3 linked regions of the Lepisosteus oculatus genome follow. The protein of the gene in region 2 interacts with the protein of the main gene of each other region in a pairwise test. Links are inferred from orthologs where the notes say so. Each region holds a gene or a part of one and is shown on either strand. Other genes may lie near its edges. The genes, in order: septin6, morn4 and bend3.

The links.
Region 1: the proteins of morn4 (region 2) and septin6 interact in binary tests that used the Homo sapiens proteins (3 or more experiments, as listed by UniProt). The two-hybrid records come from large-scale screens. The link is inferred for Lepisosteus oculatus from reciprocal best matches to the Homo sapiens genes MORN4 and SEPTIN6.
Region 3: the proteins of morn4 (region 2) and bend3 interact in binary tests that used the Homo sapiens proteins (3 or more experiments, as listed by UniProt). The two-hybrid records come from large-scale screens. The link is inferred for Lepisosteus oculatus from reciprocal best matches to the Homo sapiens genes MORN4 and BEND3.

What each region holds. Positions count from the first base shown.
Region 1 is NC_090703.1:50,241,029-50,252,269, reverse strand, and holds the start of septin6 (septin-6), read left to right. Parts: upstream 1-6,962; 5' UTR 6,963-7,040; coding exon 7,041-7,070; intron 7,071-11,241. Other genes in the region: ankyrin repeat domain-containing protein SOWAHD, read right to left, coding at 1,553-2,653. UniProt on the Homo sapiens protein: Filament-forming cytoskeletal GTPase. Required for normal organization of the actin cytoskeleton. Involved in cytokinesis. May play a role in HCV RNA replication.
Region 2 is NC_090699.1:44,156,958-44,167,684, forward strand, and holds the start of morn4 (MORN repeat-containing protein 4), read right to left. Parts: upstream 4,248-10,727; 5' UTR 4,139-4,247; intron 3,911-4,138; exon of another isoform or gene 3,425-3,910; intron 2,511-3,424; 5' UTR 2,499-2,510; coding exon 2,432-2,498; intron 1-2,431. Other genes in the region: lcor (streptococcal hemagglutinin), read left to right, coding at 8,240-8,336. UniProt on the Homo sapiens protein: Plays a role in promoting axonal degeneration following neuronal injury by toxic insult or trauma.
Region 3 is NC_090697.1:34,479,031-34,490,179, reverse strand, and holds the start of bend3 (BEN domain-containing protein 3), read right to left. Parts: upstream 5,229-11,149; 5' UTR 5,091-5,228; intron 2,901-5,090; 5' UTR 2,898-2,900; coding exon 2,846-2,897; intron 814-2,845; coding exon 593-813; intron 94-592; coding exon 1-93. UniProt on the Homo sapiens protein: Transcriptional repressor which associates with the NoRC (nucleolar remodeling complex) complex and plays a key role in repressing rDNA transcription.

The sequences.
Region 1 (11,241 bases), on a different chromosome or scaffold from region 2:
AGCAAACACGGCCGCAGGCAGGCTGCTGAGCTGGCCCGAGTGGGAGTAGGCCGATCCAGCCAAATCGCTGCTTCGGGCTCTTTCGTAGATGTGCATTGAGCGGAAGGAGACGGTGGACGCCTCGGACATGCTTTGTGCAACCGGTTTCTGCGCCTGTGACTGGAAGGTTGCCGGTTAAAATCCCGCGGCTGGCAGAGGAATCCTACTCCGTTGGGCCCCTGAGCAAGGCCCTTAACCCCAGCTGCTCCAGGGGCGCCGTACAATGGCAGACCCTGCGCTCTGACCCCCAGCTTCTCTCCCTGTCTGTGTCTGTGTCTCCATGGAGAAAAGCTGGGGTATGTGAAAAGACGAATTCCTAATGCAAGAAATTGTATAGGGCTAATAAAGAAATAAATAATAATAATAATAATAAAATAATGTTGGCTGTTCGTCTCATCATTTTGAGCATTTTACTACGTCATTTTATTAACTAAATCATGCGAAATGCAACAGAGAACTCCATCTTTTTTTTTTAATGGTAAGCGGGCGTTTTGTCAATTGTCGATGACACTGACCAAATATCTTGGGCTTCAGTTTTTCCTGTCTAGCCTTGAGCAGTGCGGTAGATCCGGGGGCATGGCGAGGAGTTTTGTGAGCCGAGTTGAATCGTGGACGGACGTTGCGCCATTGGTGCAACAAATAAGAAATCGGCTTCCTCGTTTCGTATTTCTGACCTTTCGTAATTCGGAATCGGCTCAAAACTGCACAACTCAAAGCAGCTGGGTGGTTTGGATTTGAATATTTCCTGTTCCCCTTTCATACCGACAGAGTGCAGCGCGTGCAGTGGGAAGTCGAGATACATAAAACAATCCGAAAAGTTTCTGCTCCTTCGTTTTTTTTTCTGCTGAGAACTATGTATGAATATTTCTTTACAAATTAATTTTGGCTTATCTGAAAGAATTCTTATGTTTATTTAGATAAACAAACGAACTAGTCTTAACTAGGATACAATTGTTCTGAGCCAGCTACTCAATTGAAAATAGTTTTCTGAGAGGAAAAACTCGCAGTTTGCCCTGGCTGTCTCTAAAATAGAGACAGTACCGTGAAATCACTTTCTTTAAAATACGTTCCACACCTGGGGTTCAGAAATATTAAAGGGTTTTATATACAAAAGTATATTTGGTGTTACAGTAAAGTGCACCAGGTTATCCAAAAAATGAGAGACAAATACTGACAGAGCAAAAAAAAAAATCCCGGTCTGATTAATGATCAACGCATTCAGGAAGCAGCCATGTGCTTATTGATCCCTTCACACGAAACACTGCGATCGGAACATTCCGAACGGATGATCGACTGTCCTCGCCGTTTCTCTAACGCGCCGACCAGCGTTGCAGCGTCCAGGAACACAACCTCTCTTTTATCCGATGTGGCGCTGGGCCGGCGCGCAGATCCCATTGGAAAAGCTTCAGACGCACCTGGAGGACTGGTTCGGTCACGGACATGAAAACCAGGCTTCAAGCACAACTCAAAAGCCCCTTCTCGTCCTGTTCACGCGGGTGGGGCCCCCCCGCGCTCATTGCGCCGTTCCCAGCGGTTCCCTGCTGCTTCTGCTGACAAACGACAGCAGGGGGCTCAGCATCCTCTTGAACGACGCGAACCCGCCGAGCTGGCCCTTCCGGCCCGGGGCCTCCGGCTCCGCCCGGCTCAGTGCGTCGGCGCTGTTGTTGTTCGTGTTCAGGGGCCCAAGAGCCCAGCCCTGCTCGTCCATGGCCCCCAGCAGCTCCCTCATCTCCGCGGGCGCGTCCCCCCTCAGGTACTGCCAGGCTCTCCGGCCGCCGTGGTCCATGGCGTCCACGCTGGCGCTGTAGGCGCCCACCAGGATCTTGACCACCATGTGCCGCCCGTGCATGGCAGCCACGTGGAGCGGGGTGAGCCCCCCGCTGGCTCTCACGTCAATGTTCACCGGCAGCCCCCGGCTTTCCGCGTACCTCATCACCTTTATCAGCGTCTCGTCTTTGCCGTGCTTGGCGAGCCAGTGCATGACCGTGAACCCGGAGACAAAATCCTTTCTGGTCAGCAGGCTCGGGTCCTCCGAGAGGAACTCCACGATGGTGTCGTAATTCCCGTCCACGACCGACAGCATCCAGGCGTGCTCCACCGGATCCAGGGCCCAGAATGTCCTGGTCAGGTTGCCGTCCTCGGTGCTGGGCTGGGCGGCCTCATCCCCGCAGTCCCCGGCAGCGCTGGAGCTCTGCGACGAGACCAGTATGCTGCCCAGGCCGTTGTGCAGACCGTTGTGCAGGAACAGCTCCTTTAAGTATTTCTTCCTCATGGCCGGGGTGAGGGACGCGCACGGGGCGCCGTCGGTCTCGCTCACCTCCGGCTGCCTCTGCAGCTTCGCCCTGCGCGCGGAGGCGTACCCGCAGGCTCTCGCGCTCAGCCGGGGCGCGCGCTCCTCCCGGCTCCCGGTGCCTCCGGCCGCCCGCCAGGCGGCTCTGGGAATCGGGGGGCCCCCGTCGCTGGCACCCGCGGCTGCGCATCTAGACCCTTCCTCCCCCCCCTCCTCCTCTTCCTCCTGCACCGGCGGCGAAGCTGCGGCTGCCTGATACGCATCTAAATGAGCGCCCGGGCTGACCGTCCCTGGCGGTTCGGAGACGCCGGCGCTGTCGCCCATTGCTGAGGAATTTCTCCTCCTCTTCCTCGATCAAGTGCTCTTCTGACGGATAAGAGGGTTTTAAATTCCAGACATCGAAGTTCTCATCCCCGGCGCGAGTATTTGCCCGGGCCCCTTAGGGAAATGAACAACAGTGAGAAAAGCAGTTCCCAGGGCAGCTTTCTGAAATTATTTTTCCTGTTGTACTCGTCCTGAACCCAGACTCCAAACAAAGTGAAACCGACGAGAGAGCAAATTTCGCGGTGGCTGTTGCATTCGTCAATGTGCGCTAGTCCATAACACCTATCTATAGATTGATATTAGACTCACCTGGTGTGCTGTGATCGTCCCACTGCCCTCTCCGAATGTGTGATCTTAAAAGACACAGAGAGCGCCACCCATTTAACTGTTCCTCTTTCTCGGGTATCTCGTGTTTCCGCTGCTGGTCTTAAGATAAACTACCAAATTTGCGAGAGGAAAAACAAAGCACAAGAAGAGTTCGTTGCGCTCCGTGGGCTTGAGACGTGTGATGTTTAAAGGCGCTACGCCCTTACCCAAACCCACGGAAATGCATTGAGGTTTCTGGTTTGTGCCTCAGTAAAAACCGATTTGTCTGCACGACCCTTTTCCTTGCTGACATATGGGGTAAAACTACGCACCTATTCGGTTTTCATTCCGCAGGTTACTGAGCGGTTCTTATATTCTTTAAAGTAGTTCAACGTCTGTAACAATGTACCTTTCCTCGTCACCTGTGCGCGTTTATCTCCTTGGAAGATCTTTACGCAAACCCGCAGTTCGGTTGCCCGGGCGGTATTCTCCCAGCTTTTATCGCTGAAAATCCTCAAATGCCAGATCCTTCAAGGAAATAGCCTGGTTTAAGACTCTCCATTCCGCGGAAGCTTAGAATACTCTCAAACCGAAATCGCTTCTCCTCTTTCAAGAAGGTCAGGTCTCACCCCTCCTTCTCCGCCCCCCCCCCGCTTTCACCCCACCGCTGCTAACAAAGTTCAGATTTAATCCTGCGCCACTACTGAACCAGCAGTATGCAAGCCGCGACACACGTCTATCAGTATTCCCCCGCCACGATCACTTTTAATATGTTACTCATGAAGAAAGATAAAGTATACTTTGTTTTCGATAGGTATGGATACCTCTAGCAGTCCTAAGGGAGCAGAGAGTCCGCACACCACAAATCTGCCCTGAACAGTGAAGCTTTTCGAAGCGAAAGTAAAGAGAACAGCACGTCGTAGCTCTGTTTATACTCGACAGTCAGTTTGTTTACGTAATATTCTGCAACAAGATTACAAGCAACTGGGCAATACGGGCATACTGGAAACCTACGTAATATTGCAGAATAAATAATTCCTCTTGGAGTGTCTGTGAACGCATTCTCTTGCTGCAGTGTTTCAGAAGTTGCACCTCGAGACCAATCGTGTTTAAATCGCATGGAAGTTTCTAAAACGATGCAATTAGCGTCATAGCTAATCTTCATAGCTGTCTTCAGTGTGCTAAACCTGTAAAAGATCTTTCCCAAGTCTTGCCAAGCCTGAGGAAGCCGAATTCCTTTTAAACCACAGGGAAAGGCAGTGACGTTGCTTTTCTCCTTTTAACCCCCGTCGGGGTAATCTCAGGATCATTGTCCCGCCAGGAAAATAATGGTAATTATGCTGGGGGAGCGTTTTTTTTCAGTGCCTTTGACTGGGGCGGCCCGGAAATATTTTAATTGAAATGAGATCGAGGTAAAGAGGAGGCGTTCGTAAGCCATGGCCATTCGCCTGTCGACGCTATGGCTAAATTTTTTTGTCTTTGCCACGGACTCTGGGGCACCTTCAGGATTGCACGCGTGAGTGCGGCTTTCATTGCACCTCTTTGGCTTTCTGGGTGTGAGCCCGGAGTGAGTACTTCACTCCCGGGTTCCCTGCCAGCACGGGGGTGGGCGGTTTGTCCCGGAAAGCGCCCCGGGAACAATTATCCGCAGTTCTGTGTTACCGGTGAAACAAGCACTCAGGCCCCACAGCACGGCTGTGTCACTATAAGTCGCAGTAGCTCCTGCAATAGGCGGTGCTGCGGCCGTGTGAGCAAGAAACGGCACAGCGCGGTTCGGTGTCACTTTTCACTGCTGTGTGCTGCGTGTCTTCTCTGAGGGGGTTATTATCAAGACTGGGAGAGCGGGTTCCTACACATTTGTCGACACCAAGACCTGGCATCAGATTTCAAAGATATCCTCCAACTTTTCCTAGTTCACTTATTCTTGTTAACAGGTGAAATCGTTAAAAAAAAATGGGGGGAAAAAGTAGTTTTTTAGGACTACGTTTGCGCTTTTCCTAAATACTATGTCTTTACTAAAATGATAAATCGCTAAGGAACACAGGAAAGTACAAAAATAGACCCGTAAATGTCTTGTGTAAATATTTGAAAATACTGCACACCCTGTTGTTCATATACACACTCTTCTTGTCTCCTGTATGAAGGTGCCGCCGGCCAATGAGGTTGAGTTACCAAGTGCAAGTCAGAGGCAGGAAAGGTTTGATCGCGCAAACTGAAAACGCGACACGGAACTAGGCAGGTGGGCGAGGTGGGCTGCGCCGTCTCGACGTGCGCCCGAAGTCCACAGCAGATCTCGGCGTGTTCACTTTGCTCGAATCTCTAACTGCGGGACGGTACGGTCAATTGTTCGGATAGGAGGGCGTTTCCCAATTAGGGGGTACGTAAATAGGCAGGATTCTCTAGCGTGGATCAAAACACGAGAAACCCCTCCGGCGCTTCCTTCTCTAGTCCACTGATAAGCTTCCTGAGAACTTGAGAATGATCGCATTTCCTGCTGATTTACACTCTTGAGTCTTGGCATCTCGCAGACGTCAGCTTCCCAGGTCCTGTCTGTATCTGCCCCCCTAGTCGCGTGCTGAATAGAGCTCATCCACAGGCGGAGGCGGTGATGTCAGACACCTGGTTTGTTTCTCTTAATCCTGGTTTATCCATATATCGGCAAGACGTGTTCATGATTCGCACACACGCGCTGTTTATTGAGCTAGAACATAAAGAAACGCTATAACACAAGAGCATAACAAGACAGTGGAGGTCATTCGGGTCACACTACTGCAGCAGCCGTTGGGGTTTTACTAGATAATGTATCCGAGGGCCTCATCCAGCCTTTCCTTGAAAGGAGCTCCAGTCTCCCACACCCCTTCTGGTAAAGCAACGTTTTCTTCAGCAAGTCGAGGATGAAGATGTTGGAAATAACACGATTCAACAGGGGGTATTTCTCAAATTTAAAACTGTGCAGAACACAAAACGTCCAGACCAGCAGGCAGGGGTCAACGGTGTCTGTTATGGACGCCAGCCTTACTGGTGATGAAGAGCCCAGGAGGCACAGCGGCGGCAGCAGACACGGGCGTCCCCCGGTCCAGGACTGGCAACCGCTGCAACAGAGAAGGATTTGGACGGCACGCACGTCAGAACCTCGGGCAGAAGCCAGAACCCGCCCCGGTGCTGCTGGAGTCGTTCTTAATTGATTGCAGAGAGCGAAACGGAGTTTGGTGGGATTTCTGATATGTTCTCTAATGATTAACGTACATATTAAAATACACATATGACGGAAAATAGAACAACAACGGAAGGTTCCTATCCCCAGCAACAGTTCGCTTTCCCTAGGCCCAGAAGACCGTTTCCTGCTCTTCCAGCAGAGGTGCCCCTCAGGCGAGGCGGTCTGGGACGGTCCTGCGACGCACGCGTGTTGTCTGCGCAATACTGTATTCTAGGTCAGGCGGAGGGGTCCGGCGGCGTAGGAATAAATGGCCAAAAACTCATTATCCACAACATGCTCCAAACAAATACAGAGAAACTATTTAATACAGAGAAACTTCATGGGAACAGGAACTCCTGAATTTGTACACACGTTTCTCCGCTGGTGTAAAGGTCTGTTAGAACGCCCGTTGTGCTGTGTTATTTACATACGCGAACAAATGATGTCAAAAACCCTAATGGCAGCCGAGCTCCCGAACAGTTACACGCAAGGCGGTGTGCATGAGGCAAGGCAGCGCTAACACGCACTTTTCTTTCACCCGCCTGGGACGCAAAGGCGTGAATTTTTAAACTTCAGGGCCTGTTCCCCACCTCATCACAGCAGAACGAACCATTTGGGGGGGGAATTGGAAGGGGGGGGACGCAGGGAAGACAGCGGATTAAAATCTCACCGATGAAAAGGGGATGATCAAAGATCGCTTTTTTTCTTTGCGTGTTGGACGTTGGCGGGAGGAGGGGCCATGTTCCGGCCGGGGCGTGCGGCGGGGCCGGGGCGGCCGGTGTGACGGGGGCGGCGCGGCCCCCGCTGTGGCACCGCCCTTGGGCCGCCCCGCGCTCGCGGCTCCGCGCTGCTTCCTGTTCGGCGACACTGCGAGACGCTGCAGCCATGGCGGCCACGGAGATCGCTCGGCAAGCGGTGAGTGTCTCTAGCCCCGGGGCTCCAGCGCTGCTGTCTGCCCGGGGAGGCAGAGCCGGTCCGAAACCCACCGTCTGCACGCCCTGCACGGCCGGGGTGCGAGGTTACCGGTCGCGGGCTGTAGCGCCAGACACCGTCAGCCCCTCATTTATTCTCCAGTGTAGCGAGTCACGGAAAGGGAAACGTTATATTTTTTCTTCCAGTAGAGGCTGGTAAAAAAAAAACAACAACAACTCCTCGCATCTTAATCCCGGTGAATGATATGTCTGTCGTGTGTTTTTAGTGATGGGTTTGAACGGGTTTTGGTTTTATTCTTAATCGATAAACCATGCGATTGTTTGTTTTTTTTTTTCATGTGGATAAGATCAGCCGCTATATAAAACCGGTATCTTCCTATCGGCTCGGCGAATATTTCAGGTGTGTTATAATGCGCGTTTCGTTTTCGTTGCACACGTCCGTGGATGTACACACAGACGAAAAATTAGAACAGTCTTGTCCGACATCGGTGTGGGACGATCATGCCCGATTCCGCTATTGAACGGTCCTGCGGCCGCCTGTCTCATTGGCTGGCTGGGCGTAGTCTTATCTGCCGTACTGTAATTCAATTAACTCAAGCGGATTAAAGCTAAGCGACCAAAAAAAAAACAACCCAACAACAACAACAACGACGGATGCGTCGGTGGGTTTCGTGCTTTTTTTAGTTGTGGAAAGGTGTGCGGGAGAGTTTCCCGGCGATGGCCGGAGAAGAAGGCAACACTGTTGCAGATGAGCGAAGGGGCCGGATACAGTAAATTGACTCTGGAGCGCCTGGTTCGCAGGGCTCGCCAGCTGCACGCCAGCTCGGAAACACTGAGCGGAGGAAACGACACTCGTTTTTGCGCCGTGCGTTCAGATTTAAAGATATTTTTTCCCCCCCGTGTCTTCACTTTATGTAGGACCCCAAGGCCGGTTTATTTAGATTGCTGAGGCCCAGGTGTCAGTGCAGATGGGCACCCACAGATCAGGACTATACAGGACTCGCCCGGGCTGCCCGGGTGGTTTCCGCAGCAGGCCTTGGTGACCTGGGGGTGCTGTTGAGTTTAAACACATGGCCTCCCACTGCCAGGGCCGTTTGTGTGTGAGGAAGCTCTTCTCCCCTGATGGCATGTCTGAGACCGGCCTGTTGGAGTTGGCGTAGTCACGCTTGCTTGCCACCTCTGTAAAAGTGGCGGAGTAGTGAAGATGTTCTTTCATGTTCGATTTGACGAGCCACAGTAAAACTCCACCTGAAACAAACAAAAAAACTTTGTTGATGTATTTTGGGAACCTTAAAGGTTTGAATAGTTTTTTTTACTGAATTCTTAATCATGTATGCCTTTGAATGGTTTTACTTGATTGTATCCCATTATAATTCCTGATTGTCTGCTCAGAGGGGTTTGTGTCTGGTTCCATAGATTTGTGTCTACAATAACTATCTTTATTTTAATTTGCTTTGCATTTGCTGTAGTCATCTTTTGATCAAATTGCGAATATAAGACATCAGTGCCCAGTTTTAAACGGTGTATAGTAGTGTCATATGTGCTGATCATGATGTTTCACAACCGTTTTAAATCCCTTCTTTTTTGATTAACATTGAACCACACAAGAAATGTTTTACAATGCTGTTTGCTGGACTGTTGACTGATTAGTCAGTTCAGTTTTCTGCTTTGCATGATCTATAGCCTTAAATACTGTTGCTTTACTGCTGACAGTCTTTCAATCAAAATCTTGTTGTTTTTGAATGGCAATGCTGTCTAGTAAGACTAATAATAATAATAATAATAATAATAATAATTGTTTACACTTATATAGCGCTTTTCTGGACACTCCCCTCAAAGCGCTTTACAGGTAATGGGGATCCCCTCCACCACCACCAGTGTGCAGCACAACATTTCTTGTGATGACACATAAACAATAACTTTATTCCTTAAAAGTTACAATTCAGCCTGTTGTTATTGATACTCGAAGACCTTTCAGTGCTGTCTGAGACAGAAGAATAAATTGGACACAGAAATGTTCTGTTACCCGTGTCCACTCAGGGTTTTTTTCTTCAGTGGGTATCTAGGCCCCCTGGTTGGGGGAGTGCAGGTTAGCACAGAATAGCTGGTGACTGAAGTGTCGTGCCTGTCTGTGCCTCCCCACTCCTGAGTGGCAGAGGGAGCTGTCCTGGGTGATCAGGAGGCCGAGTTTGAACTGTGTGCCCTCGGTGGGTGTGTGAGACAGACTGGTTTCCCAGGGGTCTTGAGTACTGAGTATTGGGACTGGCGTCTGCATGGAAAGAGAGCAGTAGTTGTGCTCACTGCTGGCTCTAGTACTGTATTGACACACACTGGAGTGTGCGAAACGTTCTAGCCGTCTCGACTGAGGGTCAGGCCCTGCAGTCTCCCGCTGTGATTGAGGTGTTAAGGAAGATTCTTTTTTGTGAGCATATCTGATAGATGGGATATCTTTTACACTTTGGCAATTAGAGACTTGTACCATGGCATCTTAAACGCAGCGTTGAATGAAAGCCCAGTACTCGCCAAAGCTGTTGTAACAGGCATGGCCCTCTGTTCAAGTCTTGCTAACCTTCGAGGTGTCTGTGCTTGTTGTGGATTCCCGCTTGCAGGTGCGAGCAGTCGAGCGTGCCGCGCTCTCCCCTCTGTTTGTGTGTCCAGCTGGAGACGCGGGACAGGAGAACGCTCGGTCCCAGCCCCGCTCGGCTTTCGGGACCCTGTAATGGCGTCTGCTCTGTCCGCCCGTCCTGGGGGGCCTGTGTCCTGCGGGTCCTCTCGTGGAACGTTTTCTGCGGAAGATGAAGTAGCCGTGAACATTCAGGACTTTCCGGATATGTAAATTGCGGTTTGGCAGGCTGCCTCAGCAGCTCGAATTCTCAACGAGGTTAACAGACAGGAAACAGGAAGTGAGCAGCAGACAACAGCCAGGCTGCCACTGGAGCACCTTGTACGGTATGAGACGGCAGCACCGATGGAGGCTGCGAGCTTGAGGCGGGGGGGGGTGACCAGAAGCTGCGGTGCAACGGGCCTTCCTGCCCCATCCCTGCGCTCAAGCAGGCGGTCGGCGTGCTCTTGCGCATGTCACTCCGCCAGGAGTTTCACGCCTGGGACTGGCCCTGATAGATCTCTCATCCACCCCGAGCGAAAATCAGCACCTCGGCTGCACGAAAAACAAGCCAAAGGACTCAGCCTGGACGTGTATGTGCAGTTGATGTTCCAGTGTGTTTCTGGGAAAGCTCTTCGCCTCGGGCCCTGTGTGGGGGTGTGCTTTGATGAGCTGGGGCTACTTCCTGAGAGACCTGTCCTGGAACGGCACTCCTCCCGTCACAGTCCAAGTTTCCAGTGTTGCAGAGAGCTTCAGTGAAACACGCTTCACCGCCTGAAAATGTTCCTTGAGTTTTTACCAACCAGGCACGCGCAGTTTATAGCGCATGCTCGTTCTGTTCGTGAGCATTAAGAAGCTGGTCCAGGTTATTGCAGAGGTCTAGACTCTTAGTTTGTAGAAAGCTGATTGAAAGAATATATTGAACAACAAGATGCAAATGTGACAGTTATGCTGTGACGTGTTCAACCTGAGGCTCATTGAACATTTGTGGGATCCGTTGTGATGATGTGAGACATCTGTGTGAGCAGTGAACACATGCTTGTCCAGACTGCATGAGAGGAATGGGCCAGAGGAATCACAGGTACACAGCTTGCATTGGTGCCAGCAGACGTCACATACTCCTCGTCTGTGAGTCTCACAGCAGACGGTTAACCAGCCTAGCTGATGAGAAGTGTTCACCTGGATGTTGAATTTACGTTATGTCATGGCATTTCAAACACATGACAGTGTTCCTGCTACAAAAAAGATCAATTTGTGCTTTGAGCAGCCACCTTTAAAGGAGCTACTGTATATAAAAAGTTTATTTTTATTTTCCTGATAAATTTGTGAATTTGTGAAGTTATGAGAGATAGGGTGTCTTTTGTTGCCTAAGAATAAAGGGAACAGACAGATCTTATTGCTGTACTGGTGTGATTTTTAAAGGTTTGCAGCGAACTGTGATCCAGCTAACGTCCATCTGACCAGCGTTAGTGCTGAGATTCGTGACTGCATCATGACACTAGCTGACTGCTGTTGGCTGAGCACTTCTGAGGTTTGGGTTGGATTGCTCTCT
Region 2 (10,727 bases):
TTCCATTTAAATCATATAGCCTATTCCACACATTTGTCAGAAGCAATTATAGTGATGCCATTTCCTTTCTATAACGCTTACAAATGTCATGAACAGGAAAAAAAATCACCTGCTCAAATCAAATCTCATCATTTTCACCAAGTTTTCTAACGGTGGGGGGGCACCCAGTCCTGCTGTTACATAACTGAACATAACTGGTCTAAAAATAGGATTAATATGAGCTCTTCTCTTAACTCAACTCTTAAACATGTTGGAGGTTACCATTTACAGTACCTATTGCTTTTTGTACAGAACTAAACATCTCTAACTCTACGGGAAAAAAGAAAAACATTTACAGGGCTCCAAATCTAGTCCCCCGTTAGTTCAATGAAGGAAGGAGCTCAGCTGGATCGAAAACCCGGAGGCCAGGACTGGGAATCCCAGCAATGGTGGATTGAAAGGTATGTGTTCAGGTAAGAGGTAACATGGATTGACAGGATAAGCTGACACAGAGACATCCCTGTACACAGCATTGTGCGAGAGGGGCTTGATGGTAAAAAAAAAATTCTCTCCTAGCTAAATTAGGTTTACCATCTGTTAGTATTTAGGATTGTAACCCTTTCCCTGATCTGAAACCTCTTTAGAAGGGATTTTGTTTAGCTCAAAAATCAGCTCCTGAAAGGAATGTCAGGAATGTAAGGGCCTGTTTTCAATACAATCCAGGACACCAGCTCAGCTTTGCGGCAATCTTCCTGATCCCAGCAAGGTGAGGTACTGCACTTTTTGCACTATGTCCTGTCTTGGCTGTATTTTAATGTCTATTGTCTGAATTTATTGTCCATGTCTGTTCGTCATTTGTGATTTTTTTTCCCTTTCTCTAATGTTACTGGGTACAGCTGAATGAGTAAGCATTCCAATACACTTGTATATGGCAAATAAAGAAATCTTGAAATCTTGAAACTGGCTGATTTCTTAAAGTCCTTAGCTGCTCTCTATAGATTCCAACATGCATACACTGACAGCAAACTATGTATCCCTAATACTACTAAAAATATAAACACCAGAAACAACAAGTATGTAATAATATCAAAAGGGCATTTCATATTAAAGAACTAATCCCGAGGCCAATGTTAAAATGCAGCTTATATCTACTACATTTTAACCAGATCAAATTATTTTGTGAATATTAAGTGTTCTTAGAAGTAACTTTATTTTTATTAGTTATATCTTCTGTCATAACACCATTTTACACAGAAGAATCTGACTGAAGTGATTCTGGAAACCTTTCCAGTCCCTGCAGAAACCCTTGCACAGTGACATCAGGTTAGTCATGTTGTGTGACGTCAAGGTTTACCAGCTAATTAGGATTTAGCTTATTTCAAGGAGCTTTTGTTGTCAGTCCCTGTCCTTGAAAGCAAGAACACTAAGTACAGACAATACTAAGTTGCTACCCACAGCTAACACTGCAGCATGCACAAATCTGGGAAAGATCAGAACATACGCTGCATTGGACAGCCAGGAAATTCAAATTCCATGTCGCCTGCATTTTCTAACATTTAAGAGCACGTGCTCTTTGTTAGGTGTTGTCTGTTACAAAGAAACTCATGACATGAAGCACTTACTTCTCCCCAGCTTTGTTCTAATGGAAACACGATGCTTTTACAAACACACAAGTAAAGGCTGCCTCAGAGCGCCTGTTCCTATTCTGTTATGAATAAAGGGCAGATTACCCTTGACTGGTGAGAAGGCACAGTGACTGATGGAGCTTGACTGAAGCTAGAAGAAAGATGATTGTAAGGACTGATTTAAACTGTGAGTTATGTAAGTATCTGCTTCCAACAAGAGGCTGTTATCTTTGAAGGCTCTGTTAGGGTACGTTATTTAAGCTTTTGGGCAATGTTTTCCATCTGACAGAAAAAAAGCACATTTTACTTAGCAATCTCTAAGATCTGCAGTTACGTTCAACTTCAGGAACATGTTCTTTAAGCAGTTTTGACCACGCTCGGTTTCATGCCAACCACAAATGAACCCAATTATTCTTCTCTGTGTGAATGACAGAGAGTCCAGCACAAGAGCCCCGGTTTCTAATTCTAATAATGTTGCTATCTGTGTGGAGTTTGCATGTTCTTCTTGAGTTTTTTTTTCCCCCATGGGTTACCTCCCGTGGTTCAAAGACATAATGGTGGGTGGAAATTGACCTTGGTGTGCGTGTGTGTCTGTGTCTGCCTTGTGCCGATTTGTCATGCGGTGCAGGATGTCCTCTGCCTGTCTTGCGGGGTCAGGCTAAACCCTGGATTGGATTTAGCAGTTCGAAAATGGCTGAATGGATAAAGCATAGGGATGGGCCAAGCGAAGTAATTGCAGTTCAGACCCGGGAGCCTCTGTCCTCAAACGGAGGACGAAGACATCACCCATCCTAGACCGCCTTTCTAAAACATTTAAAGCCACCTGCCTTCTTTCCACTCGCCGTGATATTCCTCTCCGCTGGAGTAGGTGAAGGATCCTCTGGTCAGGGTCATGTCGCAGACTGCCTGTGGGGGCACACAGCAGCCAGCAGAAGAGGTTGAGTCTCAGAGACACGACGACCAGAGAAAGAACAGCTCACCCCCTCAAAGACTAGAAGCAGAGCTCTCAATTCTGAGTGGCCACACATCATATTTTCACAGGTCCTGCCACTGGCATTAGTGGGGGAGGGGGGGGCACGAATGTTAAAAATAAAGATCACTTTGCACATTTGTTTTTTTCTTTAACACGCATATTAGGAATTGCACATGCAGAAATCAAAAGAGATAGTCCTTAATCCTTTATTCAACCAAAGAAGTAAAAAAAAAGAGACGCTCTCGTCTATAATAAGGAGCCGGTGATCCATTTACGCAGTGGGGCTCTTGCACGAGCAATGTGATCAATTCACCTCATTCAAGTGAATAACACCAGTGTCCTGTTTGGGTTCAAAACCTGCAGCACTCCAGTCTGGAGTCCGGAGCCCTAATCACAAGTCCACGCTGCTGTCTAAAAAGGCTGCCCCCTGAGAGAATGGACACAGGAACTCAAAGCACTGGTGGCAACAGCTCTATGAAACTGCTCCACCACCACACCATGTCTGCGCTACATTTGTGCTGCTTGAGGAGGGAGAAGTGGGAGTCATTGTGGCACTGTTTGAAACCAGTACAGTTTCACTAAGATGGTGACAAAAGTACTAAGGACCATGCAGGGAGAACTCTAGGAAGGAATAATTTTAACTCCCTGAGGGGCCAGAAGATTAAACATACAGTACCAGCCTCAGAGAATCACAATTGTCAGTACCTTAATGTCTGTCACAAACCGGTACCACTGTCTCATCCATATACACATCAGTGCCTTAAAACAAACTCTGTGTGAGAGGAAAACAAACATATTTTCACGCTGGTACTGTATTGGGTACCATTAATCTTTTGCTGTTACAGACCAGAGAAGAACATAGGAACAGGTTTTCCTCCGATGACTCTGATGCTGCTTCCTGACGGCTGCTTTGTCTCTGAAGTCTTCCAAGCGGTCAAAGATCAGGTCTGTGAAACAACTCCCAGAGCGCTTCTGTGGGTAGCGGAGCTGCGCTGCTGCAATTGCGTTCTTGTTAAGGAACGTTACAGATTAAAATAAGAGCAATAAGAATAAACTAGTCTCGGTCATGAAGGATGCGATGCCTTCTTATTTCAACTTTAAACCGTGACTCGGGACTGTTCATGTTGATTTCACCATTAAATCGAGCGCAAATTATACTGCACCCCATTTTGCATGAGAAGCACAGCTCAGTCAAATGAATAGAGAAATCGAGTGATGTAAAGCCGAAGCAATGTAGGCATAATGGAATAAATTATTTAAGCAGGTGAATAGCTGTTCTTTCGTCTATAGTGCTATTATTGTTGGTTAAAAGATACTGACAGCTCCAGACTTAATAACCTCCGTATACGAAATGGTTACTCCTGGCATTCAGTGCACGTTTTTGTTGTATATCCCTTGAAATGTTACCACAGTAACGCAACAAAGTCATTTCCCTACGTGTCGCCGGCATATCACTTACAGTAACAGTACTAATAAACTACTTCAGCAAATTTAAACACACAGCTGCAAGATGATCCAACTGACCGTCGTTACTGCGTGATAAGATAAACAAATTATTTACCTGTTTTATGATCTTGGGACTTCAGAAGCACATAAATCCACCAATTTTATATTTACAATTCAGGCAATGGTGCAATATAACTGCTATACAGTACACCCTGTGACGAAAATTAGGCTCTCCTGACCCCGCCCCCTCTAGCGGCGAGGCTTCACGCTCTTCCTAAAGTCTCACTGTCCCATTGTCCGTTTTGCGTTACTTTGCATTTAAAGCGAATCCTGATTGGCTGGATTGTTTCCTTCTGAGGTCTGATAGCTGACATTTTTGTTAGGGGCATCACACAGCCGTGCCTGTGGATTTAATTAATAGGGATATGTTTGGTCGTGGCTTTTGCGCAGAGGCATTAATTATGGGATTCGTTTTTAATTACGTTGTGAAACTTTATATATCTATCTAGTGATTAGATATTTCTTTATTTTCATTCAGGTTAAGCAACCGCTAAACATTCAGTTGGCGTATGGCAGTTTTGCAAGGTTCTCTGAAAACGTTTCAGGTATATATATATATTAAATTAACTAAATTCATTCAGTATGCTGTATGAATTTAGCACAGAGTCGGATGTATTTTCATCTACAGATGTCTTTTTTTTAGTGACGAAATGAGTACTTTCGATTTCTGCATACCCCGATTTCTTCTGCCTTACAGATGTAGTTAGTTTGTAATCTAGCTGCTCCACAAAGGTCAGGACTCACCGCCTCTCTGCTTCCGCAGGAGTGAATACAATAAATGTCTTCTATCTCATCAAGATGCACCTACATTACAACCGCGGTAGCACCCAAGCTTTTATCACTTGAACTACTTCAGATCTTCGAATGATATATGGACGTGTGAAGGGTTGCATACAGCCATAAAGTAAAGCAAACGGTAAAGTATGGGAGAATTATACTGTGGGTCGCACAGACGTAGTAAATCCGCAAGGAGAAGATTGCAGAATTGTAGCTTTGGTATTTACAGTAGGCAAAGCACAGAAGCGGTCAAAGGCAAACGCGCTACTTGGATGCATAGCAAAGAGTGACATACTGTACTGTATTAGATAGCTGGGAGTTACCTGTGCCTGGAAGAGATTTTCAATGCAAATGCAGTGCCCTACCTGGAATCTGAAATCAGAACCTTGCAGTTATGAGCCTGGATCCCTAACCACTCCTGCACATGCTGTCTGATTTTTATTTTAATATAAATTTAAAATGAAACACCAAATAGATATACTGAATTTCCTTGTACATTTCACTTATCATTTACTTCATGACTTAATGTGCTGAATGGGTCTTACTTAAACTTGAACTTGAACTTGAACTTTATTGCCATATGTAACCGGTACTGGTACAATGGAATTCTTACTTACAGAAAGTCTCTCGATTGTAAAACAAGTGTAAAAAAACAAAACAAGTGCAAACAGTGCATCAAGACAATGTACAAACAAACAATAGACAATGTGCAAGTAAACATGCAGGCAGTTTGAATGTAAACAATACAGACGTGTAAACAATGACTGGAGACGTACAATAAATAAATTACAATGAGGTAGATGGTGATGGGTGTGGTCCGAGGGGGATGGCTAAATGTGTTCGCCAGTCTCACTGCTTGTGGATAGAAGCTATTGAAGAATCTAGTGGTAAGTGTCCGTATGCTCTTATATCTCTTGCCTGAGGGCAGTGGGGTGAAGAGCTCATGCCCAGGGTGGTGACTGTCCTCTGTGATGGCCAGAATTCTACCACGGCAGCGGTCCTCATAGAGCTGTTTAATCTCGGTGAGACCGCAGCCGATGATCTTCTGGGCCATATTGACCATTCTCTGCAGTGCCTTTCTTTCTCGCGAAGAGGTGTTGCCATACCACACGGTGATCCCGTTGGTGAGGACGCTCTCGATAGTGCAGCGGTAGAAGTTCACCAACACATGTATTGGCATCCCCCATCGCTTGAGGCGCCTCAAGAAATAAAGGCGCTGCTGAGCCTTCTTCATGATAGAGTCAGTGTTCACAGTCCAGGTTAGATCTTTAGAGATGTGAATTCCCAAAAACCTAAAGCTGGTGACTGTTTCCACTTCCGTTCCATCAATACTGAGTGGGCTGTGAGTGTGTGGCCTTTGTAATACTTACAAAGTATTACAAAGCCGAATAGTGTTTTTTAGTAAAATATATGCATTTAGACCACTAGATTGAGTTAGGTTGAAAGGGAGATAAATGTGTGTTGTTCAATGCTCTAAAGTCCATCGCCTGTTCTTTCTGTGGTCTTGGTTTACAAACATCAAAAGTTTTTTTCACAGGCTGTTTTTGCTTATAATAGCAAGGGTGATCTCAAAATAAACTGAGATCCAAGAAGCACAACTGTACTGCTGCACAGGGATCAAAATGAGGTGTAGATATTGCAAAGGGCATAGTAAGAAGCAAATCTTACATTATCAGGGAAATCTTTTTTAACAACTGTACTGACATGTTTTAAAACAGACATTGCAGTGGAAGATTCATATTTGTCATCAATGGGTTTACTGTGAAAGTCACAGGCTGGTAGCATGTGTGCACACTGCTGGAAGCAATACAGGGTGTATATCTAAAGCACATATGACACACTAGGTTACAGATGCTGTCTTATAGGACTCTGTCCCTTTCCTCTCCTACAGTCTGGACAAGCAGGTGTCTGTTCACTGATCTCTGAGTCCTAGATGCCTCATGTCAGCTCATCCCACAGCTGCTCAATAAGTCCCAAGTCTAACGACTAGGGTATCCTTGTTGTGGCTCGTCTTGCAAGGAAGCTGTTGTTTGACAAAGAGAATATTATCGTGCTGGACTTTGTCACATCAGCTGCATGAGAGAAGGCAGTGAGGTCATGAAGTTCCCTGTGAACAGGTTGCATTCCATTGCTACAAGTGGAGATCTGTAGGGAAAGGAGTTTCCAACCCAGACCATCACACTTGAACCAAACCATCAGCCCATTGACAATAAAAGGTTGCGCATTGTTCTACACATGTATCACCCCTGTCAAGTCCACCTCAGGTGACTTAGTCCAGTCTCTAGCATACTGATGGCATGAAGGCATTAATCTCTTAAATTCAGAATATTAGTTCCTTTTGACATCTCTGTTCTTGAGTTTCACTGGACTTGACATTCAACAAGTTAAGCCACCTTTATGCCTGTTCAATGCCCACTAATGAGGTGATTCAGTGCTCATGCAACAGTAGATGTCACTCTAGCATATCAAGATCGAGTGATCTATTAATCAAAATGGTGCAAAAACATTAAGTTTGTCTAAAAACAAATAGAAATAAGTAATGAATTAATTTTGATAGGCAGTTTAGTGTATGAACCTTTTCCTCCAATAAACCTCTAGCAAGACATCATGGAAACTGTCTTCAACCCACAGTTTTTGTTAATGTTAATATAGTTCAATTCTATATGTGTGTAGATTTTACGTCGCCAAGTTTAGTACCCATGGTGCATTTTCATTAATCAGGATACTTAATCTTTTTGCACTGCCGTTTTATCCGATGTTCATATATAAGGATTCCTTATATATGAAAGTTTTTCACTTTAACTCCCATCTAATACAGTTTATAGAGTGTAGAGGGTTTTGATTTAAAGCGCTCCGTTATATTGAAAATGCGCTGTTTAGTAAGCGGCAATGGGTTGAATGAAATTCGTACAGTAGTACTTTATTAAAGTTACGATTGTAGTAATTTATGGAGAGCCATAAAAATATAACATGAGTTTCCTAAAAGCCAAATTCGGGCTTGAGGAATTAATCTATTAAAAATGACCACAATGCGGTCTCATCAAATTCAAGTAACACTCGCACCGCTACATTGTAATTGCCCTTGACAGTGTCCCAGAATCTCCTCCGACGGGACAGGGATCCCCTTAATTAAATTACGCGCACGCGTGCAAGGCCGGGAATATGGGCTGCCTTCCAGTTTTAATCACGCGTCACTTTTCATCCATCAAGAATATTAAGCTTTTATTTTTTGGGGGGCGGCGGAGGCGAGTAGAAGATGCCGCAGCAGAAAACTCCACCCCTAGACACAGCACACACACAAAAAAGGGCCGTGGCGATGACGTGCACGCTGGGACGCACCCAGCAAAACGTGCGCGGCGGCGGGTGGGGCCGGTAGAAAATGGCGAGTCTGTGTAAGAGGCAGCAATGCACGCTCGAGAGACGCGGCTTTCGGCAGGAACTTGACTCGTGGCGGCATAAACTTATTCACTGTGTAGGTAAGCTCGTTTCACATTGCATGCAGGACCGGACGCGGCGCCCGGGACTCCGGGGTTTGGAAAAATATACTTTGTTTCTCTCGTAGTCCCAACGCAAAAAAATTCTGTTTCTAACCGTCGGGAGCAGCACGGAGCGGCTTTTTTTTTTGTCTAGTGCAGCTCTTCCGTCAAGAGAGCCTGCCTCCCTCCGTTCCGGTCGCCAGATTCTGGCTGTGAAATGCGTTATACTGCCTATATAGTGGAAGTGTCCGTACGGTACGGGGCGTCCTGTAGGCAGAATTCGTTTGCTCCCTGGTTATATTATCTATCTCTTTATTGCTAGGTAACAAAGATATATCAGGCTTTGTTTTCCTGTTTATTTTACGGAGGGTGTATCACGTGAACGGCGCTGCTTCCTTTAAGCCAATGAGATCGGGGCTCCCGGGCGCGTGCTCCTCTGCGTTTTTTCTTGTTTTCTTCTGTGGGGGGAGGGGGAGGCGCGCGCTCCCGGCAGCCCCGGGTTCTGCTGCTGAGGTCGGTGCCGCGCGCTCCCTGGCTGCCCTCGAGTCGGCCCCGGGGGCGCGCATTGCTGCAATGGGGGGAATCGCTCAGAAAAATTTGCTGTATTTTATATTTTGGCAAGCCGGGGAAGATGTCGGTTAAATTATATTTAAAGGTCAGGCGCACTAGACGTTTTAAGTTCGCGCGACACGTGCAGTAGCTTGCTGAAAATGTCTTGGTCAGTAGTTACAATTATATATATATATTCTAAATGTAATACAGCATATTTATTTTTATCTTCTTTAAACATTTTGCTTAATTTCTTTGGAAGTCCTTTGCTTATTTTCTGATGCACAGGGGCTTTATGTGTTACATCTGTGGAGTATTCCACAAGCTTTTTTGCAATGCATATTTTAGTTCAGTGCTGTAATTTTACAGACGTCAAATTTCGGTTGTCTTCCAAATGTTCACATTTGAAATGTCGCCCTTCTCCGGGCTACCCTCCCCCATTTCGAATGTTTCTTGATGCTAATCCATTTAAATCGGTATATTTGGTGTTACTGGGAGATCAGGATTCACTTCACGGTGATCTCTTATCCCAAAGGGCTCGCTTCGTCCAAACTGCATTAATCATTTTCCCTGCTAACCTATCTCTGTAGGTACAGTCGATATTCCCTGCTTAGTTAAATCGGTGCCTTGTTTTCACTTGCCGGTATTTGTTCTGAGGCGTTAGACGTGACATGGGTTTTGTTTGACAGAATACGTGGTAAAACAAATTCTTAAATGTTCGTTTGACAACTTTTTTTAAGCGGCCGAAAATATTGCGTTTATAAGAGAGATTTTAAACAGATTTTGCAGTTACGCACTTCAATTTGCTTGCGAGATGAGACAGTAGAAGCTCTGTTCTTAAGCGGTTTTAATTGACATTTTGTACTCCTTTGAATTTTGTTTCATCTGAGCATGTGTGACTTTCTCGTAATTCAATCCACTTATCGCAGTTGTTTGCTGTGGAATGCATCTCGATTTATACTCGACGCGTCTTATCCGAAATTGCCGGTGACTATATTTTTTTGCCCCCTCAAACATGTTAGTGGTGGAAAGCTTGTGCTGTCTTCCCAAGTCAAAAGTTCATTCACTGAATGCATGCCTTTTTTGAGCCATAGAAGCGGTTGAAGTTTAAAATGAAATGTTATTCTAGAAAGTTTCTAAATGGACTGGCCCATATTTCACCGGATTAATGTACGTCTTGGTAGTGCACGATATTTTTTCTTGCTTGATATAGACGACACTTTTGCATCTCCTACTTCAGCGTGCGGCGTCCTTGTCCAAGCCAGAGGGGTATCAGAGGGCAGATGCTGTCAGTACATACCTGTCTTTATTTAAAGTTCCCTTCCTGCTTTATAGCAGAATTGATGAGCCTTTTACATTTAGCAGCAAGGGAATGTTTTTTTACATCTCCTGAACCCTGGTGTTGGTACAGCTGGAACGAAGGGGTACTGGTTTTGAAAAGCTATGTTTACATGGACACATCTTCCCGATATGAGAAGCTCTTAATTTTGTCCCCGAGTTCTGTCTAATGTGCTCTGTGCTCTATAAAGTAGCCTAGATCTAATAAGGCTGTGTCAACATTTATATGGAAATGATGTTGCCTTTTCATGTTCCTCAATCACTAGCGAAAATAGATTTGCCTTTAGAGCTCTATTACTCATTGAAGAACTATCCTATGGGGAGGCTAAAACACACAAGTTCTGCCTGGGTTGGAGATCTTGTGCTGGGATTATTCATTGTGAATTCTAATTGTGGAGTGTTTTATAATAGGGGATTAAAGTAGGTTCTCCTCAGTTATTGTGGTTCACAAGAGGAGCCTTGGGAAGCTGAAGGTAGGCCTGCTTAACGCGGAATTCTGGGATT
Region 3 (11,149 bases), on a different chromosome or scaffold from region 2:
CTCACCGGGTGACATCACAAGTGAAGTCTTCGATTTGCCTGTGTAGTCTGTGCTTGTCTGAACTTCCTGCGGGTGGTCTGTGCTTTTACTCCCCTTCAAAGTAAAAAACAAATTAACACCCCATGACAAAAACTGGCTTTCTGATGCAAGCTGAAATCATTTGTGTGTGTGTGTCGAAGTGTTGTTTTATGGTACATTACCAATCATCTTCAATCAGAATTATTTTTCCGCTCTAAAAGACAAGGGTTTTCCTTCAAAAGGAGTGTGATTCCAGATGTGTAATTCGTTATGTTGTGGCATGAAACATTTCATTTACAAGCACAACTTAATGTGAAGCTTATCTAGCATGTACACACATCTCTGCCGATTATTTTTGTGTAACCTCCCATGACTCTTCTGCTTTTATCTAGAATCGGCATAAAATAAATAACCCTGACCAATGCTGAAAAAGGCTGCCAGCACAGCCAGTTTTCTTTTTCTTTCACTAAGTTCTTCTGCTGTAGCGTTATGCAGCATGAAACCACTGCTGAAGACGTGGAATGACTGAACTGGGATTCAGGAAAACTGCCTGACTGGTGTTCTTCCCACTTACCTCTGCTGAAACTTTCTGTCTTTTTACGCTGGTGGGCTGTTCTTGCTCACTGCTCGGGCTGTCTACAACAATCTGGGTGTTGGCCCTCTTGCCCGTCGTCTCCACACTGCTGCACAGCACCTTCTCCATGCTGCCTTCAGGTGTATTGCAGCCTGCGGACCACTCGATAGCTGCCTCTTCCATGAGTCTCTCCATTTTCACACAGCGCAGGGGTCTTCTTTCTGCCGAGAAGCACGCAAACACAGTCATTCTTTTCCTCAGTGGGCAGTACCTGAACACGGGGCTATTTCAGCATTAAAGAACTGCTTCTGTTTTAGGGACCATGTTTTATCATCTATAGGTTTTGGACCTTAAAGTTTAACATGATAAAACTATGAGCGCTTGATGCATCACAAGGAATATGTTTTGCCTGGGTATAGCAGAAAACGTGATTAGAAAACAGGAGGAACAATAGTCCTTCACAGCCATGATCCTTCTGCTGTATATACAGAGCAGGCCGTTTGCAAGAATCACTTTGTCCCTTTTTTGGCTCATTAGGTGTCCCTGCTCTTGATGATCATATTTCATCATATTGGTCACTTACGTTCATAGCATGCATTCCTATAGAGTGGTATAGAATTACGTTACATTGCTCTGTCCACTCAAGTATTAGCGCGCGCTGTATCGTAGTACGTAGGCTGCGTATTCGATACATCTTAAAATAGAAAATATGAAAACCCGTCCCGATTTTTCAGCGCACACAACACAGTTCCAGGGTCATGTGGCGTACCACCTGGCGGCACTCCACGTACCACTGCAGGTAGGTGTACCACAGTTTGAGAACCACTGGTTTAGACAATAACACACTTAGGTCATTTGGTGCAAAACCAATTATTGGTCTGGCATATTAATATAAGAGTCTTGCAAACAGTAATGTTACATGCAACACTCAAAGCATAACATCATCATTATTTTCAAACTACTCAAATAATTCCACAAAATAACCGGCAAACTTGAAGTGAACAAATTCATCCGAAATGTCAGATTAAAAATACTGTTCCTACAAGCAGTTATGCAAAGATTTAAGTCTTTTAAATGAAGTTTAAAATTTATGAAAGCACTGCAGCTAAAGATTTTAAGGTACAGTATGAGGGTGCAAGTCAGAGCCTGGACAGAGGAGATCCCAGTTTCATTGAAATGATTTAAACAGGGGGCTGCATGGTGGTTAGCCTCACAGCTCTAGGGTCCTGGGTTCGATTCCAAACCGGAGCACCTTCGGTGTGGAGTTGGCATCTTCTCCCATGTTTGTGAGTGGCTGCACTGAGTAAGTGCCAGTTTCCTCCCACTGGCCAGACATGGGGGATAATTAACTGGTGTCTCTGAAGCCGGCGTCACACTACATGACTCGACACGACTTCTAGTCGGAGAGCATGTCAAATTTCACGACTGCAGTTGCTGAATCTCGCTGCCTTTTCTATCCTAGAGGGAGTCAAATTATCCGACCAGGAATCGCGGGTTGTGACTAATTCCAAGATTCCCTTGCAACTTTTTGTCACGGTTCCAAATCTCGTATTGTGCCACAAAATTACCGCGAGGTCGCCTCATTTTGGCAGCCAAACAATGTGGAGCACACCGGAATAAGAGGAGGGGCACCGCACAAACAACACGGAGGACAAGCACGTAAAGATCTTGAAAAAATGTAACATCGTAACATCAACTTATCATACGCAGAGTCTTAGGGGCTGTTAAGTGCTATGACTGAGTTGCTGGGGGTGTCGCACTACACAACTGATGGTAACGGGTGCGTACTGCAACTCTACAACTCGCTGTGATTTTCTTAGAATTCTGTAAATGAAGGCTACGACTGGAAATCCTAAGAAAAGTCATGTAGTGTGACGCCGGCATTATCCGCCTCTCTGAGTCCGAGTACCCTAAGATGAACTGGAATCCTGTGCGGGGTGTTACCTTGCACACACCCTTGGCTTCAAGGAGTGGCCTTCTGATAATGGACGGATTTCAAAAGTTTTTTTTATTATAATGAGGATCTATCCCCAAGGATTTAATTTAAATCCTACCCATGCTTTTCGTCAAATCTCTTGACAAACAAGGATGTGTATCCCCACAAGCTGTGGTTTGAATGATGAATCCTTATGCAGTAGCCGGTCCTTGTATTGTAGATTATTTGCATTGTTTCTATTGGTAGCACTGAAACACCTACAGCACACAGGCCTTCAGTCTTGTCACGCGACAGGGTCAGATGATGAACATGCTTACCTGTCTCTGATGCCTCACCATCTGACGTCTCCCCATGCTCAGAACAGTTCATGACCTAAAATGACATCAACCACAAACGCACAACACTGAATCACAGTTCGCCTACAGAACTTTACTGACATTGAACTACGTACTGTAGTCCCTTTCATCTTAATCATCATCACCAATGTGATCAAGGTTTCAGGCCTTTTGTAAAACCACATTCATGTACTTCTCACTTATGACATAACAGTACTGGTGTTATGCAGGCTAGAATCCTAAATTCCACTTTCATGTTGTATTTATGTATGAACTTAGGCCGAAAAATAACATTCAATGGTGAGAACTAGCTGAGCCTATTTTGTGTGTTAATCATATGCATTTCATTTTGGTGTGGTTCTGAGGATCTAAAACAATATCTATGATACCATGGCCTTATAGATGAATCTATAAAAATAGTGAGGCACAGGTAAAGGTTTATTCCATGCTGAAGGGAACATTGTTGTGTCTTCTTCAGGTGTCACCTGAAGAAGGCTTCACAGCCGAAATATTGTGTCTCTTTTCTTTACAGCATGGAATAAACCTTCAGTTTCTTGAGTTATGTTATGTGCTTATTTATTCCGCAGTAGAAATGCCAGAAATTTCAAATTTCTTTCATATTTAACTTTCTCTGTTAAGGCCTTCAGAATATGCCCACAAATGCCCGTGGCAGATCTTTACTGGACTCAATTTTTGAAGATGGTAACAACAAAGACCTAAGAGATACTACAATAGTTCTGTAACCCTAAGCCAATTCTCTTCAATCACGGGTTACACACAGCACATGGTTTTAGTTTTAAAGATTTCTTTATTTATACACATTTTATGATTTCTCTCTCCCTGAACTCAAAGTATTTCGTAGTACTGCACAATATAATCCAAGAAAACACAAATATGTCAAAAGCAGATTTGCAAACAGAATGTCGGTTACACTTGGACTACTGTCATTCTTAAACATAATTTTTATATGTTCCAGAATGAGAATTTATTTCAATTATGACTAACTCCCCCTAAACTGCCAACACAAAATGGTGCATCTCAATGTAAGTCTTCATCATGGTGAATTTCAATATTTGGGTTTATTTCGTACGTGACCTCTGTCTTTAAAAACACAAAAATAAGCAGCATTAAAATTTTCAGCTGTTTTTTTGTGGACTGCGGGTAATTTGGCACGCAATGAGCCTATGGAATCATAACAAAAATATCGCACCTGTTAATAGTAACAAAAGGATACAATACAACAGTTCTTGCCCATTACAGAAATAAACCGGTTCACATTTGTCTGCAAAGCCTACTTTCACAGCTCAAAGTTTGACAACTCAGCTGGCATAGAATTTGATAATTATATTGTTGGAGTTGATTGTATGAACGTGTTTTACAAGGTAATTTATTACAGTAGGAAAAATACCGTTATCCTCGTAAGCACGGTATTATAATTCTTTGACCTAACAAATATAGTTAATTGCAACGTATGTTTTTAGTACAGGAGTGTTTAACGAGCTTTTTGCTAATGTTCATTATACAGTTTGGTAACTGTAAGCTTAAGTCATGTGCTTGTGCTTCTGTTTTGAATTTAAAATATTTTTTGACATTTTAAGCATATCAAAACATGATGTCGGCTGCTTAAACACGAACAAAAAAGGATATTTATAACATGTTCTTCAAGTTAAGATTTGCGATATATTATGCACAGATCCCCTAAACCCAGAAATCGGTCATAAATGTGACCTTTTTCCTCTAGTTACTCTTATTTAAATGTTATGAAGGGCTCCCCAACTGAAACATGACCCTTTGCAGCACCAGTACGTTCTATTCTGTACTGGCGCTGCAGTAAGCGGATCTCCTCAGCAGAGCCGTGGAGGCGCTGTGACTCCACTCACACGCACACAGATGAAACTCGCCAGACTCCAGACCACTCCACTTCCTCATTCTTCCACTAGCAACCCACGAACCGCAACAACCCGAGAGGGATATCCTCTCATCGCACTTTTTTCATATTTTCTACGACATAAAACTTGGGATACAGATGTTCCAGAGCACGATCCGTACCCAAAACGACAGTGCAGAAGCCCACCCCACGCCCACTTGGTCTTTTTTTGTTGTTGGGTTCTGTTTTAATAATGGAATTCTCTTTGCGTGACGCGGCAGGAAAAAGATCTACGGGCGAGTTTTTTCCCCTCTTTGATTTATTGCACAGCGCTAAAGCATTGAGTAGTTCCGAACTCACCTTCGAACACTGGCGTAGCCTGCAAACTAATAAATTCGGCGAGCATGTCCGATTCCTCGCATCACGGTATATTTTTTACACGCCTGAGTGTCGTCCGTGTTACTGTCCGCCGTGTTTTTCTTGTCTGTGCCCTCTCGAGTGACGTGACGGCACTCGCCTGCTGTGTCATTTCCGCACAGCTGTGGGTTACTGTGGGCAAGCCAAAGTTCTGGTCACGTTTGCGTGTGGGAAAGAATAAGGATGCTGAGTAAAAAATGTACATTTTTGTTCTTTTTTGGTTTTGTTGCATATCGTTTCGATATAGTGACACGCCAAATATGTATTTTTCACATTTCTCTGAATAGTTGATGCAGAAGTTGTTTTCATTCATGAGATAATCTGACTCAAAAATTGATATTTGCCATCACTTCATGTCTGAGCATCATGCAGCGTGCGTTCAGCTGTGTTTGCAGAGAGGAAGACATCACTTGGGGGAAATCCCTGTCATTTTGACAGTGCTTACGCGTTTGGAAAGATAAGATGTATATTTCAACTATTTGGAACGACTTTTTTACAACAGGTGTTCTGCCTTTCTTGACACGGAACTGATTTAGCGGGAAATGTCTTACCTCTCTTGTCAAGCTGAAAATTACTCTAAAATCATTTACGGGCGTCTTAAGACGCTGGGGTTTTGTATTTTTCTTATTATCCACGCACATCTTTCTTTTTGAGTCGTCTTGTTTAAAATATATCATCCAAATACTATAGTTAAATTATAGAACTAGAATGGCTTGCACATCGAGACTTGTATATGGAATAACAACTAAAAGTAAAAGTAATTAGTCTACATTGTGGCTGCGGAAAAGGAAAATCTAGACTCCATGTGACAATGTAGGTTCCTCTTCATAACATAACCCGAGATTGTGTGTGTTTGTTTATGCACTACAGTAGGTGATCTTTTCAGGTTTTTAACATACCAAGGTAATATCTTAGTATAGGTTATAAGTGTCAGTCTGTATTTAAATCCTAGATCTTCAGAATGGATTCTTCAGCCTATACTGTATTACTCCTGTATATTGAATATTTTAGTATACCATATCCTTGTTATCAAACGCACAAATAAAAGAAACCTTATTTGAATTTTAGACACAGCTGACTGAAATATGCATATCAAAGCAAAACTGTGATTTGGCGATAGTGTATTGCCTGTGGGTGTACATATTTGTTAAATAAAAAGAGTTAGCCACAGAACGTGACCAGATCAACATGAGTTAACAGCTGAGAGGTGATAATGGCTGTAGTGCACAAAACAAGACCCTGCCATTTTTCTTTCTTTTCGGAACCAAGTCAAAGTGGGGATTCCAGGCAGGCCAGTCTCCCTCCACACAGCACAGTGTAATTTGAGCTGCTCTGCCTGTCATAGTCTTCCATTCAACATTCTGCCATTCTGGCATACAAAGAGAATGATAGACTGATGGTATCTACAGTAAGTCAATTGAATTTGATCATGAACAGTAACTCAAACCTGATGAATCAAATGATGCTTGCAATATTAATTATGTAGCATAAACATGCATTTTCTTATTAGTTATGAATAACATTAGTGGTCTTATTTGAATTTTGGCCTGGTGTTACAATTTCTTATTCATACAGTAAATATGGAACAGTGCTTGTTTTATTTCAGAGCAAGATACTTTGTGACTGCTGTACAGTTTCTCGGTTGTTTTTTTTCTCCACCGGAAAACCTAGTTCCTTGAAGTGGAGAATGAATCCCACGCCATAGACAAGACCCAATTTTTGGAGATATGTTGCATTTATCTTGGTCTTTTTTTAGCTCAGTTTGTCTTGTTCAACTATGCTGCAGTGCCCTCCAAAAGTATTGCAGAAGCAAAGTCAAAACTTATTTTTGTCTTACAGTCAATACATTTGTACTTTTAATAATGATATTAATGTGAATAATATGTACAAGATAGTATCCATTTTACTTTTGGGTAATTTCATATAAACATTTAGTAATATTAGAACAAAAGCATACTTCACATTCATCCCAATGATTTCAATAAACCTTTAGATTGGGGTCACAATAACTTCAAATTTTAAAATTCAAAGTGTTAAAGTAGTCCAATTAGTTTTGAAGAGCATTGTAAGTTAAAAAGATATGAAAATTAGTTAGTTATAGATGCACTGTAACAGACTATGATCAGAAAAACATAGGCACATTAAAATCAAATAAACAATCACAAATAATTAGATAGCTCACAACATTGTGGTAAAGCACATTAGTTTGATTTGTTGGTTGGTTTATTTTCCATATGTATTATATAATATAAATAAGATAATACCATAGTGGTAGATTTCTGTCAGACAGTTATGTCAATATTACAAAAGCAATTTGTATTGAGAAGGCTGGGCTTTGTAAAAATATATTGACATACTGGAATGAGCTCATGAAGGCACTTCATGGTAGGTCCCTTCATTGTTAGAATTTCCTCTTCTGTTTTCGTGTTCCCAATTTATTTAATTCACCATTCTCCCACTCCTCTCTCCCACACAACTACACATCTGCATTTTTGTATTCCTATGTTAGGAATAAAGCAAGAGAGCACCATAGTATAGTAATGCCTAAGTGTCTGTCATCCATTTGTCCCTTTAATCATACGTCTAAATCACACTATGATTTCAACCTCAGATAAACACATCCTTTTTCTTCAATCCCATTTTCTTGTAACGGCCTCAGCAAGGAGAGACAGTAGTGGTTTAATCGTTTCTCATACTCAAAGGGATTTTCAGAGTCCATCATCCCCAGCATCCACTTGGGTTGCTTTGCTAGGTGTCAGTCTGTTTTAGGCTGCACGCTGAATTATAAGATCACTTTATTGGCCATATATAATTCCTTGCATGAGGAATTTGACTATTTGCATACCCCGTCTTGCTCTCCATGAGATACACAGACAGGGAGAGAGAAGCTTGTGGTCAGAGCACTGGGTCAGCCATTTTTACGGTGCCCCTGGAGCAGTTGGGGTTAAGGGCCTTGCTCAAGGACCCAACAGAGCAGGATTCCTCTGCCGCCTGTGGGAGTTGAACCAGCAACCTTCCAGCCACAGGCACAGATCCTTAGCCAAAGTGCCACCGCTCCGCACATGGCTAAGGAATTGGCAGGAATCCTATGACAAATGGTTCTCCCTGGCGCTACCCAGCCAAGTCAGTCAATACCTACTGTAAGTGTCATGTAAGAAAAATTTTCAGGTCATGTATTTGTATATGTTATGTTATATGGTAGTGAGAAGCTGTCACTTTCTCGTAGTATATAAATTGGTGTTTTTCTTCCTAAATGAAGAACAATCAAGCTTATTATAGATTTTTGTAAATCTGAACTGAATCCTGACTTTAATGAATTGCCACAGGAAATAGCTACAATAATGTGATAAACAGCCTTCCTTCAGTTTATACATTTTGTATGATTTGCTAAGCTTTTCCCAGAAAGAAATCTCACCCATTGGTTTTCTGTAGAGAATCCTAATGTTGACTTTAGCTAAAGTTTGGGATAATGACAACAAATCAGTCTCACCCAGCTGTTCTAAACCATAATGATTCCCAACATTAACTGTACAGTATATCTATCTAACCCAAACATCTCTTTTTGCACTTTGTCTCATGCATCCCTCCTATACCCCATCTCCACCTTTGCAGCTCCCCCTTACTGTACATAGCATGAGGGTCACAGCCTCCTTGACCTATGACCAAGCAGGTTAGGCCAAAACTAACTGTTACTCAGAAAACACTTACATAGTATCTGATTTTTGGAAGTTGTTATTCCTTGTGAACGTGTTTTCAAAAGGCAGTGGTGTGACTAGTAAGAAGGTTGACCTGCTTCAGGGAGGATTGAGAAGACCATAAGGATAATATATTGAAATCTGATCCCTAATGCTAAGTACATAAAAACACAAGGAAGATTACGAATGAGAGGCAGCAATTCAGAGCATTTAGGATATTTGCTTAGCTGCTAGTAGCTGATCTGAGGATCTTATCCCTCTGTTTCCTGAAAGGTGCCAGGGAATCAGCTTCAGTGACATACTGGGTATCAGGTACCAAACTCCCACAACCCTCTGCATGCAGACATTCCTTCTGTTCTCAGTCTTCATTCCTCTTCAGCCTAGAGTCACATGTCCTGAAGAAATCCACTGACTAACTTCCTCAGTGCCTTCAAGGAATCTGAGCAATTGAGTCCTCTTGTAGTCTTCTCTGTACAAGACAAAAAAAAAGATTCAATACCTTTAGCCAATTAGTTTAATATATATATTAAGTCAAATTATATGGTATAATTAGTCATTCTTATCTGTACTGATTCAAGGGAGGCAATGTATGTTTTGAAATAAAGATGCCACAACTGTACACAAAATTCTAAATTAGGTCTTACTAATAGATCGTAACTCCCATTGATTTAAATTCTACACTTCTCTCTGTACATGTTAACATTTATGTTGCTTTTATAGTGCTCCCCCTTCTTTGCCAAGTGGAGAAAAATGGTGCATCAGCAAAATCACAGAGGTTTCAAAACATGATTAGACCTTCGTTTCCTCTCACTGCTCCCTGCAGTGCACAAAAGTTTGTGAAAAAGCTAATGCAAGTTTAAGTGGCACCTTCATGAGAAACTTAGTGGTTATAATTTGAAGAGCAAGCACAGTTGGATCCATTATGGTATAAATCCTGTATTTGTCCTTTTTAAGACTTCAGGAATAATAAAAGTTTGTCTATTCATAAGGGGTAAAGATAAATTAAATTAAACAGAGGCATTTACCGGAGGAAACCCACTCGTAGCTCTGTGTTTGAGATTGCACGGGAGCAGATGTGAACTGATGAATATCTCAGTGGGTAGATAAATGGTTCAGAGAACCGAAGTCAGCAGCAACTATATCACATAAAGTGGTAGGCAAATGTCTCCATCTGGTGGACAGAGAAGTCACAGTTCATGCTAGCAGAGCAAGAATATAAATTTAAACTGAGAACATTTGGAATACAGGCAAAATAAATAATTTGTAGTAGGAGATACACACAAATATCCTGTGGAAATCAAATACGGGAAATATTCTAAAATCAAGTTTATTTAATGGGTTCACTAATACAACAGAAATACAGAACTGTCAGCAGTCACTTGGTATGAAGCATTAGCACAGCAATTTGTTTTGCTGTGATGAAAATGTGTTCTGATGTGTTGTCGTGCAGAATGATTTTCAAACAGCATTATACATGGATCTATGAAGGAATAAATATGAAGCAGTAGATGCATTTAATATCACATGCTTTAGAAGATTTGTGCAACACCTTTGATAGAAATAATATTTACACACTAAATATATTTACACTAATATTACAGCACATTTCACAGCATTAATGGCCTGGCTGCACCTACACACTCCCCTCTAGGAAGCAGGTCAATGACAATCCTTTCGGCATCAGCACGGCCCACTAGACATCCTGACCATGGAAAGAAGGACCAGGGAAATATGTCTTTATCCAGCAGTGATTCGGCTGTAAAATCTGTAGCTGCTTATTTCCTGGTGATTTTGCTGTGATGGTTGGAATGGATTTTAACACATACTGTATGAACCTCCTGTGAAGTTTAGCAGGCATTTGGTTCTGCTTCTGTGGTTGTCTTTGATCTTCTCAGCATTACTGAACGTTTTTCCCTTCTACGCAACAGTATATAAGACCAACTTCAATTAGCCATTGACTACTGGGGGCAAACCCAACAGGGTGCCAATACTTTTTTTCAAGTGATTCACCACAGGCGAACTTCACCGGCAAGCCTGTGAAGTGCACACAGCCATTTCTATCTAATTATTCGGCACTCATTGAGATCAAATGCAGCACGAGATAGAGGTGCATCAACTGCAGTAGCTCTGCTAGGTACATTTGAGAATCTCTAAGCAGAAAAGTACCAATTCATTAGAAAGCCAGCAAATAATTATTAGCAATGGAATTAGGAGGAGAATCTTCCATCACACCGTGGATTCGAAATAACAAAAAGGTAAATAAGAGTTTATCAGCATACAAAAGTGTCACCCCATGATTTACAATGA